Cricetulus griseus: one gene and its partners. The protein of the gene in region 3 binds, or shares a complex with, the protein of the main gene of each other region. Links are inferred from orthologs where the notes say so. Each region holds a gene or a part of one and is shown on either strand. Other genes may lie near its edges.

The links. Proteins that work in one complex are often made in the same cells at the same time.
Region 1: Smarca5 (region 3) and Rsf1 share a complex: the UniProt entries of both Homo sapiens proteins name them as parts of the RSF-5 ISWI chromatin-remodeling complex. The link is inferred for Cricetulus griseus from reciprocal best matches to the Homo sapiens genes SMARCA5 and RSF1.
Region 2: Smarca5 (region 3) and Dek share a complex: the UniProt entries of both Homo sapiens proteins name them as parts of the B-WICH complex. The link is inferred for Cricetulus griseus from reciprocal best matches to the Homo sapiens genes SMARCA5 and DEK.

The regions. Positions count from the first base shown.
Region 1 is NC_048596.1:101,817,183-101,820,831, forward strand, and holds part of Rsf1 (remodeling and spacing factor 1), read right to left. Parts: intron 3,387-3,649; coding exon 3,179-3,386; intron 1,326-3,178; exon of another isoform or gene 822-1,325; coding exon 598-821; exon of another isoform or gene 435-597; intron 1-434. UniProt on the Homo sapiens protein: Regulatory subunit of the ATP-dependent RSF-1 and RSF-5 ISWI chromatin-remodeling complexes, which form ordered nucleosome arrays on chromatin and facilitate access to DNA during DNA-templated processes such as DNA replication, transcription, and repair.
Region 2 is NC_048596.1:266,810,457-266,814,105, reverse strand, and holds part of Dek (protein DEK), read left to right. Parts: intron 1-353; coding exon 354-448; intron 449-1,178; coding exon 1,179-1,299; intron 1,300-2,816; coding exon 2,817-3,005; intron 3,006-3,649. UniProt on the Homo sapiens protein: Involved in chromatin organization.
Region 3 is NC_048596.1:156,511,541-156,515,703, forward strand, and holds the start of Smarca5 (SWI/SNF-related matrix-associated actin-dependent regulator of chromatin subfamily A member 5), read right to left. Parts: upstream 2,935-4,163; 5' UTR 2,525-2,934; coding exon 2,324-2,524; intron 1-2,323. UniProt on the Homo sapiens protein: ATPase that possesses intrinsic ATP-dependent nucleosome-remodeling activity.

The sequences.
Region 1 (3,649 bases), about 55 Mb from region 3:
AGTTCAAGACCAGCCTGGTCTACAGAGGGAGAGCCAGGATAGGCTCCAAAGCTACATAGAGAAACCCTGTCTCAAAAAAACAAACGAGAGAGAGAGAGAGAGAGAGAGAGAGAGAGAGAGAGAGAGAGAGAGAGAGAGAAATATTTTAATAATTTTATGATTGATTCAATGTTTGACTTCTATTACCTACTTCATATACTTAAGTACTGGAAGTTGTGTAAAAGCTTCTCAGGAATAAAAGGTTGTGAGTGGAAAGTTTAAGAAGCCCTGGTGGGTTAATTGGTTCTGGTATTCACGCTGCAACATCTCAAAATATTCTCAGAAATACTTGGAACCGGAACGATTTATCATATTTAACATTCTCAATATCATAATTTAACATTCTCAAAGAGTTGGCATGAAGGTAACACATTAATTTATATGAATTTTCTCAGATGTGCTCTGTATGAAAAAAGTGACTAGTAAATCATAAGAAAATGACTCTAGAGTCTCATCAGGATGCCTAAGTCACAGCTGAATATAATTCTGACACCTTGGAATTCCAGAAGCCACAGGAAGCAACTGAGTTGCTCTGATACAGACAGAAGGCATTTTTACCAGAGTCTCTACTATTCTCCTCAGATTCTTCTTCCTCTTCATCATCATCAGAATACTTTTTCTTTGGAGTCTTTCTCCGCAAACGCCTGCTTTGTCTCATTGGCCTAGAAGGATGCCTCCTCAGTCTTCGGCTGCAGAAGTCCGTGTCACTGTCCTCATTAGATGGTGGATCTTCTTCACTTTCATCTGGGTTTTCATCAGACACAACAAACTCATCCTGAGATCTGTGCAGGAAAAGCCACATATGTCATGATGGTGCTCTGTTTGTTTTGTAATGGTACAGTTGGAAGTGATAATCAGTTTTTCATAGTTCCAAACACAAACTGTTAAGTAATATTCCAGTGAAACGTTAAGTAATATTTAAAGACACATTTAGAAAATTATGTCAACTTCTGTCTATAAAACGAATATCCTATCACCTATCCTCTTTGTAAAAGCCACAAAGATAAACTGATGCTGAGGGGCTGGAGAGATGGCTCGGAAGTTAAGGGCATTGGATGTTCTTCCAGAGGTCCTGAGTTCAATTCCCAGCAACCACATGGTGGCTCACAATCATCTGTAATGAGATCTGGCACCCTCTTCTGGCCTGCAAGCATACAGACAGATGCTGTATACATAATAAATAAATACATAAATAAATAAATCTAAAAAATGTTTTTTAAAAAGATGCTACTGTTCTCTGTTGTCAATAATACCTTATTTAAAAATAAAAACGTGATTCTAAATTTCATAGACAACTTCTGTCACTGTCCTCTTTGGGATGCATCTTAAATCCAACATACCCCAAAATGCTCATTATTTCTCCTCTTCTATCTACCAGCCTGATATTTAAATTTTTGAATACAAAAAACCTGTCTTCTTCTTATGGGGAGGAATGGGGTACTTGTACTTGCATGTGGATATCAGCCAACATTGTAGAGTAGGTTTTATCCTTCCACCTGTACAAGGTTTCAAAAGATTGAAATAAGGTTGCCAGACTTTGGTGGCAAACACCTGTAGTTGCTATCTGGTATTGAGAATCATTCACCCATCAATAACCCAATCCAGAGACATATGGTATGTATCCTGACTCCTCTTTTAACCTCACACCATAACCCTTTGGGTATTTTTATTAAAAACATTTTCAGGACAAGTTCAAATTTGTATGCATGATAAAAGAAGAAAAATAGAAAAGACCCACCCCAGCCAGGCATTGGTGGTGCACACCTTTAATCCTAGCACTCGGGAGGCAGAGGCAAGCAGATCTCTGTGAGTTCGAGTAGTCTGCAAGAGCTAGTTCCAGGACAGCCTCTAAAAAGCCACTGAGAAACCTTGTCTTGAAAAACCAAACCAAACCAAAACAAAACAAAAAACCCACTCCATAATTGTTCTTTTTTATGTTCTGGTTGCAGCTCTACCAGAGCATTCTCTATTTCATCCCCATACTCAACTTCTCTGTTTCTTTCTTTTTTTTTTAAAGATTTATTTATTTTGTATGCAGTATTCTGCCTGTGTGTATGCTTGCACAACAGAAGAGGGCACCAGATCTCATTACAGATGGTTGTGAATCACCATGTGGTTTCTGGGAAAGGAACTCAAGAACCTCTGGAAGAACAGTTGTGCTCTTAACCTCTGAGCCATTTCTCCAGCTCCATCATTTCCATATTCTTGCTTTTCAGGGAATTTTCTAACTATTCCTTGACATTTGAACATTGGCGTCTTTGTTCAGGTTGCTTTCTTTTCTTACCCTGCCTCTAAACTCATACAGCTGTTCAAAATACTTATTCCGTACATGTTGATGCTAACATTACTTCTTACTGTGAGGTTTCCTTGACTACCTTAGATGGACACATCTAAGGCTATACCCTATATACCCTAACTTTATTTTACCTAAATTACAGAGGCAGGCAGTGCTGAGTAACTTTTCTGTGTTTTATAGACTTCCTACTACATGTACTACTGAGTCAAAAGGAGAAACTCTTGCAGTAGTTTATACTTGTTTTGCATAGAAGCCGTCCTAACCTAATACTGGATTAGTTACCCCTTACCAAACCTCTACAGTGCACCAGAAGACAGTAATTACTTACTCCTTTACAATTTACCAGACTTTATTAAACTCCACTGATGAATTGGGTAGCAAAAGGTAGTATAGAGAAAGATTTCAACAAATAAAATTTCAATTACAGTTAATCAAATTTAAATGTAATATTAAATATTAAACCACCATAAACGTAGCTTTAATTTTAATCTAAAATGAATCAAAACAAGTAATCTCAGATCTGCTTTAAATGTCCTGAAAAATACAGATTGTCCATGTACACGAAGAATAAAAGCCATAACATAGTTCAACCAAGGCTCTCTCAGAACCTGGCTCTGTGTAAGCTGGCACCTAAAGAATGGGTCTTGCCTGCCGGGTGGTGGTGGCACACGCCTTTAATCCCAGCACTCGGGAGGCAGAAGCAGGTAGATCTCTGTGAGTTTGAGACCAGCCTGGTCTACAAGAGCTAGTTCCAGGACAGCCTCCAAAGCCACAGAGAAACCCTGTCTCGGAAAAAAAAAACAACAACAAAAAAAAGAATGGGTCTTGAGGCAGGCCACATACCCGTCACTGATCTTGAATTCATCCTCACTCTCTTCCTCATCTAGGTTGCTATCACTATCAAGATCATTAAGTCGCCGGCGTTTCTTCCTGCGCGCAGCAGCTGCCCTCTGAGGCCTTTTATTTTCCTTTCGTTCTTCATCCAAAATAGTAGAGATGTCTTTCCCACGGTGACCTGTGATGGTGGAGATATCTTTTCCTCGGCCAACTCCTGAGAGGAAGAGATAACTGTATGTTTACTGAATCTTCCCCAGACTTGTAAAAGCAGCAGCTCTTTCTTTGCTTAATTTTCTCAGAAATATGCAGATTGCTTACAACATCAACCAACAATGATCTAAAGAATGAATTAACATGCATATCATACTGAATATGAGTTCACAACTCCTAGTTGTATATTTTGTATGATTGATGACTTAGTGATGCCTCCCTCCCCCTTTATTTCATTGCCTTTTATTTGGTAGAGGGCCATTAAAA
Region 2 (3,649 bases), about 110 Mb from region 3:
CTCAGTTTGCACAACAATCTAATTTACACACATAAATTAGGGAATGGCATTAACTATTTGGAATACTTAAAAATTATTTGCTTTTTAAAAAATAAGTCATTCACTTTTACACCTACCTAAGGAACAATTATGGTAACTTGGTAGGTGGAAATACATTTAGATTCAAACTTTCCAAAGAACCAACTAAAGTTTGCAGAATTTTTAAAATGTTAATGGCAAATACTTTTCAGTTTAGTTTAATAAATCATTATTTTAACTTGGAAGATGGATTTGAAAATAAAGGCTCTATCTTCAAATTTTTTTATTTGTATATTATTGGATAGTAGCATTAACAATAACAAAAACATTTTCAGGTGTCCTCATTAAAGAAGAATGTGGGTCAGTTCAGTGGCTTTCCATTTGAAAAAGGCAGTACCCAGTACAAAAAGAAGGAAGAAATGCTGAAAAAGTAAGTTATGTTTGTCAATATTGTGATAGGTTGATAATGCTATAAACTTACCGTTAATATTTAAAAATAACTACCTGTTCATTTTTAGTACATTGCTAACTTTAATTTAGGTGCCAGGATTTGACAAGCCTTTCATAGCATCATTTTGGGTTATCTTTTATGTTCTAGTAAATAGTGACAGTTAAAATTATTGAAAACTCTTAAAATTTCATTTTCCAGAAGATATAAATAATCTTTCAGAGTTCATACAGTGTGAAGGAAATGTATTCCTGTTGCCTGCTGTTAGTTACTCTTTCTTCTTAATGTTTTAAATTTGCTTTGAAAATAATTTCTTTGAAAAATTGTCATTTTACATAATGAAAGCAAAGTGACAAACTTTTAGAACTTTTATTTATTAGATGCCTATAGATGAAGAATTTAAATAAAAATGATTAGGTCTTCATTGAGACATTGTAATGCTGAATCATTAACCTAAACAATTTTCAAGTCCATGAGTTTTGTAGTATTAGAAAGTTACATAATTTTCCAGTGACTTTACTTAAACTGTTGGTAAATACACATTTTCTCATGGTTGTACACTAGTCAGGTGATTAAGAGTAAACTACAGGGAAATACTTGTAACTGTTAAGGAGACAAAGCAGACCAATTTTGCTGGCTGTTGACTTTCTGTCATGAAGAATATTTACGAATCTTGTGTAGTTACCCTTTTTCCCCCTGCTTTCTGTTTCAGGTTTAGAAATGCCATGCTAAAGAGCATCTGTGAGGTTCTTGATTTAGAGAGATCAGGTGTGAACAGTGAACTAGTGAAGAGGATCTTGAATTTCTTAATGCATCCAAAGCCTTCTGGCAAAGTAAGGATCTGTTTTTTACTATTTCAGTAAGTTGGTTATTAACAGCCTTTCCTTTCTTTCTCTTACTGAAATGGTAATCTAACAAGATAATTGTTTTGTGAGTCAGTGATGTCATCTGCATTTTAAATATGCCTTTCATTGACAACTGCAATATTTTCATAATATAAATTAAATAGTATATTGTTCTTCAAATGTGAGTTGTACAAGATTAAGAAAAGTAATTGGGTGGTGGTTGCCCATGCCTTTAATTCCAGTACTTAGGAGGCAGAAGCAGGCGGATCTCAGAGTTCCAGGATAGCGAGGGCTATTATACAGAGAACCTTGTCTCAAAGAAGAAGAAGAAGAAGAAGAAAAGTAGCTGGTGGTGATACACATCTTTGATCTCACTTTAATTCTAGCACTCTGAGGGCCGAGACAGGCAGGTCTCTGAGTTCAGGCCAGCCTGGCCTACAGAGCGAGTTCCAGGACAGTCAAGGCTACCCAGAGAAACCCGTTCTCAAAAAAAAAAAAAAAAAAAATAACAAGAGCACCTAAATGTCACATAAGATAAACCAGGGCTCCAGGCTTTTCTGTCTGGAAGGCACTGGAATAAGGGAAATAGGTTGAGGAAATAGTTATGTAGGACTGTTACATAGTTTTTAAATATTTGGAATTTAGCAAACTTCTTTTTTTTTTTTTTAAGACTTTATTTATTATGTATACAAATTCTGCTTCCATGTATATCTGCACACCAGAAGAGGGCACCAGATCTCATAATAGATGGTTGTGAGCCACCATGTGGTTGCTGGGAATTGAACTCAGGACCTCTGGAAGAGCAGTCAGTGCTCTTAACTTCTGAGCCATCTCTCCAGCCCTGCAGATACTCTTAAGAAAGCATTTAAAAATAAATTCATTGGTTGATCAAATCTTTTTCCTCGTGTGATAAGAAATGCAGTTTAACTGAAAGCATAGAGCAAGATACCTATTTCTTGCCTCATTTCATAATTAACATCTATTGCATACTGAAGGTTGTTGTCACTGAGAACTTGGCATTACTGAAAGAGGTGGTACAGTTCTTTTTTTAAATTTAGGGTATATAATTGCTGGTTAAGCTTTATTTTCTCTTCGTAGTTCCTTCCACTCCTTTGATTAAAGCAAGAATCTCCTAGTTATGGAATCTTTAGTGCTTATAAAAATGGAATATATTAAGTCTAATTTCAAATATTGTCTTGATCAAATGTAAACACTACCTGAACTCATTACAATTCATACTTGTAGTCTTGTCTTCAGAACCAACAGTACCTTTTGCAATGATCTTGCCAGGGGTTTACAAGACAGTTAAGAATACTGCTAATGCAGTTTTAGGTAGCCTGACAGATTTAAAGATGACTTCTCTGCTGAGCCTGTAATTACTTTCTGACAGAATTTGAGTTGATAAGTAATTATCAAATGGAGTTGATTAACTTAGAAATACCCTTATTGATGGTACTGTTAATACATTTTTTGGTTTGTTTTTTTTTTTTTTTTTATACATACAGCCATTGCCAAAATCCAAAAAATCTTCAAGCAAAGGTAGTAAAAAGGAACGGAACAGTTCTGGAACAACAAGGAAGTCAAAGCAAACCAAATGTCCTGAAATTTTGTCAGATGAATCTAGTAGTGATGAAGATGAGAAGAAAAATAAGGAAGAGTCTTCAGAAGATGAAGAGAAAGAAAGTGAAGAGGAGGTAAAACATATTTTTAACTATTATTTTCTATCAGATAAATATTCTTTCTATATAAATAAGCAAATAGTTGGCTGTTGGTTCATTTTATTTTATTTTGAGACAGGGTTTTACTTTGTAGCCCTGGCTATCCTGGAACTCACTGTGCAGACCAGGTTAGCCTCAAACTCACAGAGATCCACCCGTTTATGCCTTCCTAGTGCTGTGATCAAAGGCATGCCCCACCAGCAATGTCAGTTCAATTTCATTGTGAAGCTACATAAATGATTGAGCAGGCTTATATCCCACCAAACATTAAAGTTTAAAAATAGTTGAGTTTGTGACCTAGATTTGAAGTGCACCTTGAGCTGGCTTTCCTCATCTAGAGGAGGGAAATGGGAAAGGAAGCAGCAAAATTGTACACTTTTCTGAACAGAAACACTGAGGAGCATAGTCTTTCTTTTCTTAGTATTTTATGTATGGGTCTTTTGTCTCCAAGTATGTCTTTGCACTGCATGCATTCCTAGTACCCACGGCAGCCAGAAGGGCACATCAGAATTGCCTGAAACTGGAGTTATATATGACTGTATGCTGCCACCTTATGGGTGCTAGGAATTAAATTTGGATCCTTTGTTAAAGCACCCAGTGCTCTTAACCACTGAGCCATC
Region 3 (4,163 bases):
TGTTAACTATCTATACATAATTAATATATATAATATATATATATTATATATATACATAATAGATAGATAAAATCTAAAAAAAAACGCCTTTAATCCCAGCACTCGGGAGGCAGAGGCAGGCCGGTCTCTGTGAGTTTGAGGCCAGCCTGGTCTCCAGAGCAAGTGCCAAGATAGGCTTCAAAGCTACACAGAGAAACCCTGTCTCGAAAAACAAAACAAAACAAAACAAAACAAAAAAAAAATGCATTCGTCCTGACATTTAAATGCTACAAGGAAATACAAAACCTCCAACCTAGTTTAACTTACAAAATCCCTGTCAGCACACATTAGAGGTAAAGCACACCCTACAATAATATGTGCTTTCCAACTGCAGACATTACTTTCATAATTTAGTGTCTTCTTTTTCTAACTGCAAAAACTACTTAAGGTCATCAGATACATTAGGCAAGTGTCCAAAACTCAAACTTAATTCTAATTCTACATTCAGCTAACACAGTGGAAAGCAGACTGAAGGTAATAGTCTTAAAAAGACAATAAAATTAACTACAACATTAATAGAAAAGAAAATGAGTGAATACGACTGAGAAAAACAAACTATTGATATTTTTCAATATGTAAAATCGTCAAACTTAAAAAAATGACAGGCCAAGATGTGTGGAAAAGGCTTATTATGGAAACAGATCACACTTCTGTCACATGCTCTATCCAGAAGACGCAGTTTTCTCCTCTGATGAACGAAAATACCACTTATTTCATATCGTAGGTGTTATCTTATTCATGCCTATATTTAAATTTTAATTGAAAGACAGAAACTCAAAAATTAATTTCATTTGGGTTTTAAGTTCTCTTTAGGACTTGTAAATAGAAATGACACCTATTGTGGAAATGTGTGACTCAAGTTACCGCAGAGCAGAATCTGCAAAGCTTAGGCAAGCAAGTGCATCTCTCTGGGGTGAATTGTACATTTACAAATAATTTCCTTCAATGTTTTTGGTGTCCAGACTTCAAGCAGAAATCCAACAATCCAGTTAAACAACTCTACAAGTTCAAAAGACCACTTAAAATCTTATTTAAGGGGCATAAATACATTTTTTGTTTTTGTAGATAGGGTTTCTCTTTGTAGCCCTGGCTGTACTGGAATTCACTCTGTAAACCGGGCTGGCCTCGAACTCAGAAATCCGCTCGCCTCTGCCTTCGGAGTGCTGGGATCAAAGGTGTGCCCACCACTGCCTGGCATCAAATACATTTTAAAATGAAACTTCACTTCAAATTGATGCACTACACTAACACCCCCCACACACACTAAAAGTGATTTCAAAGACTAGCAACACATTATTTCATCCAAGTGATGCAACTGCACCATCATTTCCTTATAGTGTAAATTCTGCAGCAAGGTTCATCTTTAGAGTATTATTCCAATATAAGTGCAGAAATTCTCAGACTGAACTATAGAACAGCACAAAACAAGTCCAAGGCCAAGAATAAAAACTAGAAGCAGTATCTTTGTTCCCAGGCAACTCAAAGCCTGGGAGCATATCCAAGAGACCTGTCTGGCAACTCCCCCATTTTTCCACCCTCTCCCCCATTTCCAGCATTGTCATCATCATCTGGCCCACTCGAGTCCCAGATGGTGGTTCAACGGCGAATTGTCTGAATGGCTTTAACAGGAGGTAATTCGCTGGGCTAGTAGCCCACCGCCCTCCCCCGATGCTCCCATTCATTCATTCATCCGTCCGTCCACCAACCCCTAATTAGATGGGGATCCGGGACAGGTGCTGCGGCTGTCACGCTGGCTCGCTCGCTCGCTCTCCTCCCGGTAGAGCGGGGCTCGGGAGGGGCCTCCCCTTGCTGCAGAGGCAGCTGCGCCCCGCTCATCCCCACTGCGCATTCGGCCCTCCAGCTCTCGCCATTGTTTCTGCCCACGACAGACAGATGCCGCCCCCGCCAGCACCGGGATGGGGCACTGGAGGCCCAAAGTCCCCGGCTGCGTGCGACGCTGACAAACGTCGCGCTCGCCCCGTGAATTCCACGGCGAAGGGGCCAGCTCCCTCGCCCTTCCCCAAAGTTTAGTGCAAACTAAAACCCAGATCCGGGGGAAACAGAGCCCTTCTGAGGGCGTCTAACGCTGGGGGAAACCGGGTCCCTCGACCACGGTAATCAGGAACATGTGTTTCCTAAGAGCGGTCGGCGAGCCGCCTAGGCTACTACGCGGAGGGAAACGCAGAGGTGAGGGAGGCAGACTCAGCGCCAGCGAGCGGGCAAGCGAGCATCCATCTCCCTCCCTCCTTCCCTCCCTGCGCGCACGCCCGCCCGCCGTGCTCACCTCCATGTCGGCGTCCGCGGGGCCCGCGCCCCCCGCACACGATGGAGCCGCAGGCGCCGCCACGGCCTCGGGGCCGCCTTTGTTGCCGCCGCCGCCGCTGCTGCTGCTGCTGCTCCCGCCGGCGCCCGCGGCCGCGGCCTTGGGAGGCGCGCTCTCGGGAGGCGGGGGCGGCGGAGGCTCGGCCGCCGACGACGACGACATGTTCCGGCTGCGTCACCCGCCGCGGCCACGGGCAGGCGCGGCGCGGAGGGAAGCGAAGCGGCCTGGGCCGGCCGGCCTGCCTGCTCGACTCTGGCGCCCGGGCCGACCGAGGAGCGAGCCCCGGCCGGAAGTTCTCACGCGCGGCGGCTCCGCCACCGACCCGAGCCGGCCCTGCCGCGGAGCTCGCCCCGACCTCCTCTTCCGCGGGACCCGGCTCCGCTCCACTCCGCCGGCGTTGACTTCACGGCGGGAATCACGTCGACGAGGGTGGGCGGGGCCAGCGGGGTCACGGAGGTCAGGGAGGGCGGGCTGACTCCGGGGAGACCGAGGGCTGAGGGCAGGGGAAAGGAAAGCGAAAGGTTCTGCGCGGCGTCCGGGCGCCTTCTCCTCGCCCCGCGTAGGTTCTCTTCTCCAACCACCGGGACAGCCGCCTACGCCACCCGCTCTCAACCCTCGCGAGATCGCTAGTCCTCTCCCTCCCCCCACCCTTCAGCGGCCGGATCGCGAGAGCGCATGCGCTTGCTCCTCCTGGGCCCCGCCTCCTCCAGCCCGCCCCCGAACTGCGGGGGGGGGGAGTGGGCGGGGCCTCGAGGAAGCGCGTCGGCGTAGGTTTGCGAAGGTGTGCGTGACGCGAGCTGGGCGCTTCTTAACGGCTCTTCGGCTCTCGCCGCGCCACAGAAGCCGGCCTGGGAGCGGCGCGACAGCCCGGGGACTGGCCTTCACCGTCGCGCCGCCGTCGCTCACGGCCAGACGTCACAGGTTCCCTCCAGTGACGTCGGACGTCCAAGAAAAAAATGCCCGCCCCATCAGCCATCCCACCCTTCCAGAGTTTATGGACTGCGAGCCTGTGAGATCCGGAATGGCAATAGCTGGGGACAAACGATGGCGTGTATTTTTTCCACGAGCATCAAAGAAAAATGTGCGTTTTTGTCTGCTTAAGAAATGTTTGTCAGGGGGCTGGAGAGATGGCTCAGTGGTTAAGAGCATTGGCTGCTCTTCCAGAGAACCTGAGTTCAATTAATTCCCAGCACCCACATGGCAGCTCACAACTGTCTACAACTCCAGTTTCAGGAGATGAACACCAATGCACAAAAAATGAATTTAAATAAATTATTTTTTTAAAAAAGTGTTTGTCAAGTATGTAACGCACGCCTTTAATCCCAGCACTTGGGAGGCAGAGGCAGGTGGATCTCTGAGAGTTTGAGCCCAGCCTGGTGTACAGAACGAGTCCCAGGACAGTCAGGGCTACACAGTGAGGCCTTGTCTCAAAAACTAAAAAAGAAAAAATTCTTAGCCAGGCGGTGGTGACAGAGAAGCCCTGCCTCTAAAAATTATTGGTGTTGCTTCTGCTTAGGCTGTGGTGGAGGCTCTGAGGCCTTGTGTCCTCTCCTGTGTCACCCACCTACTTCCCATTCATGACTTAGTGGCCACCAATATTGAATAAATGAAGTCCTTTCAAGAGTTAACTAAAACATGTTGAATTTCAAATCTCTTGGAATAAATAACATATGTAACACGAATGTTTGAACTAGTCGAATAATTCTCTAATAAAAACTCTCTGGAAGTAAGTGCTTCTGAAAGCTGCAGTTGTAGGTCAGTTGGTGGGATGCTTGCAGAACATACTGCTTGCAAACATCCT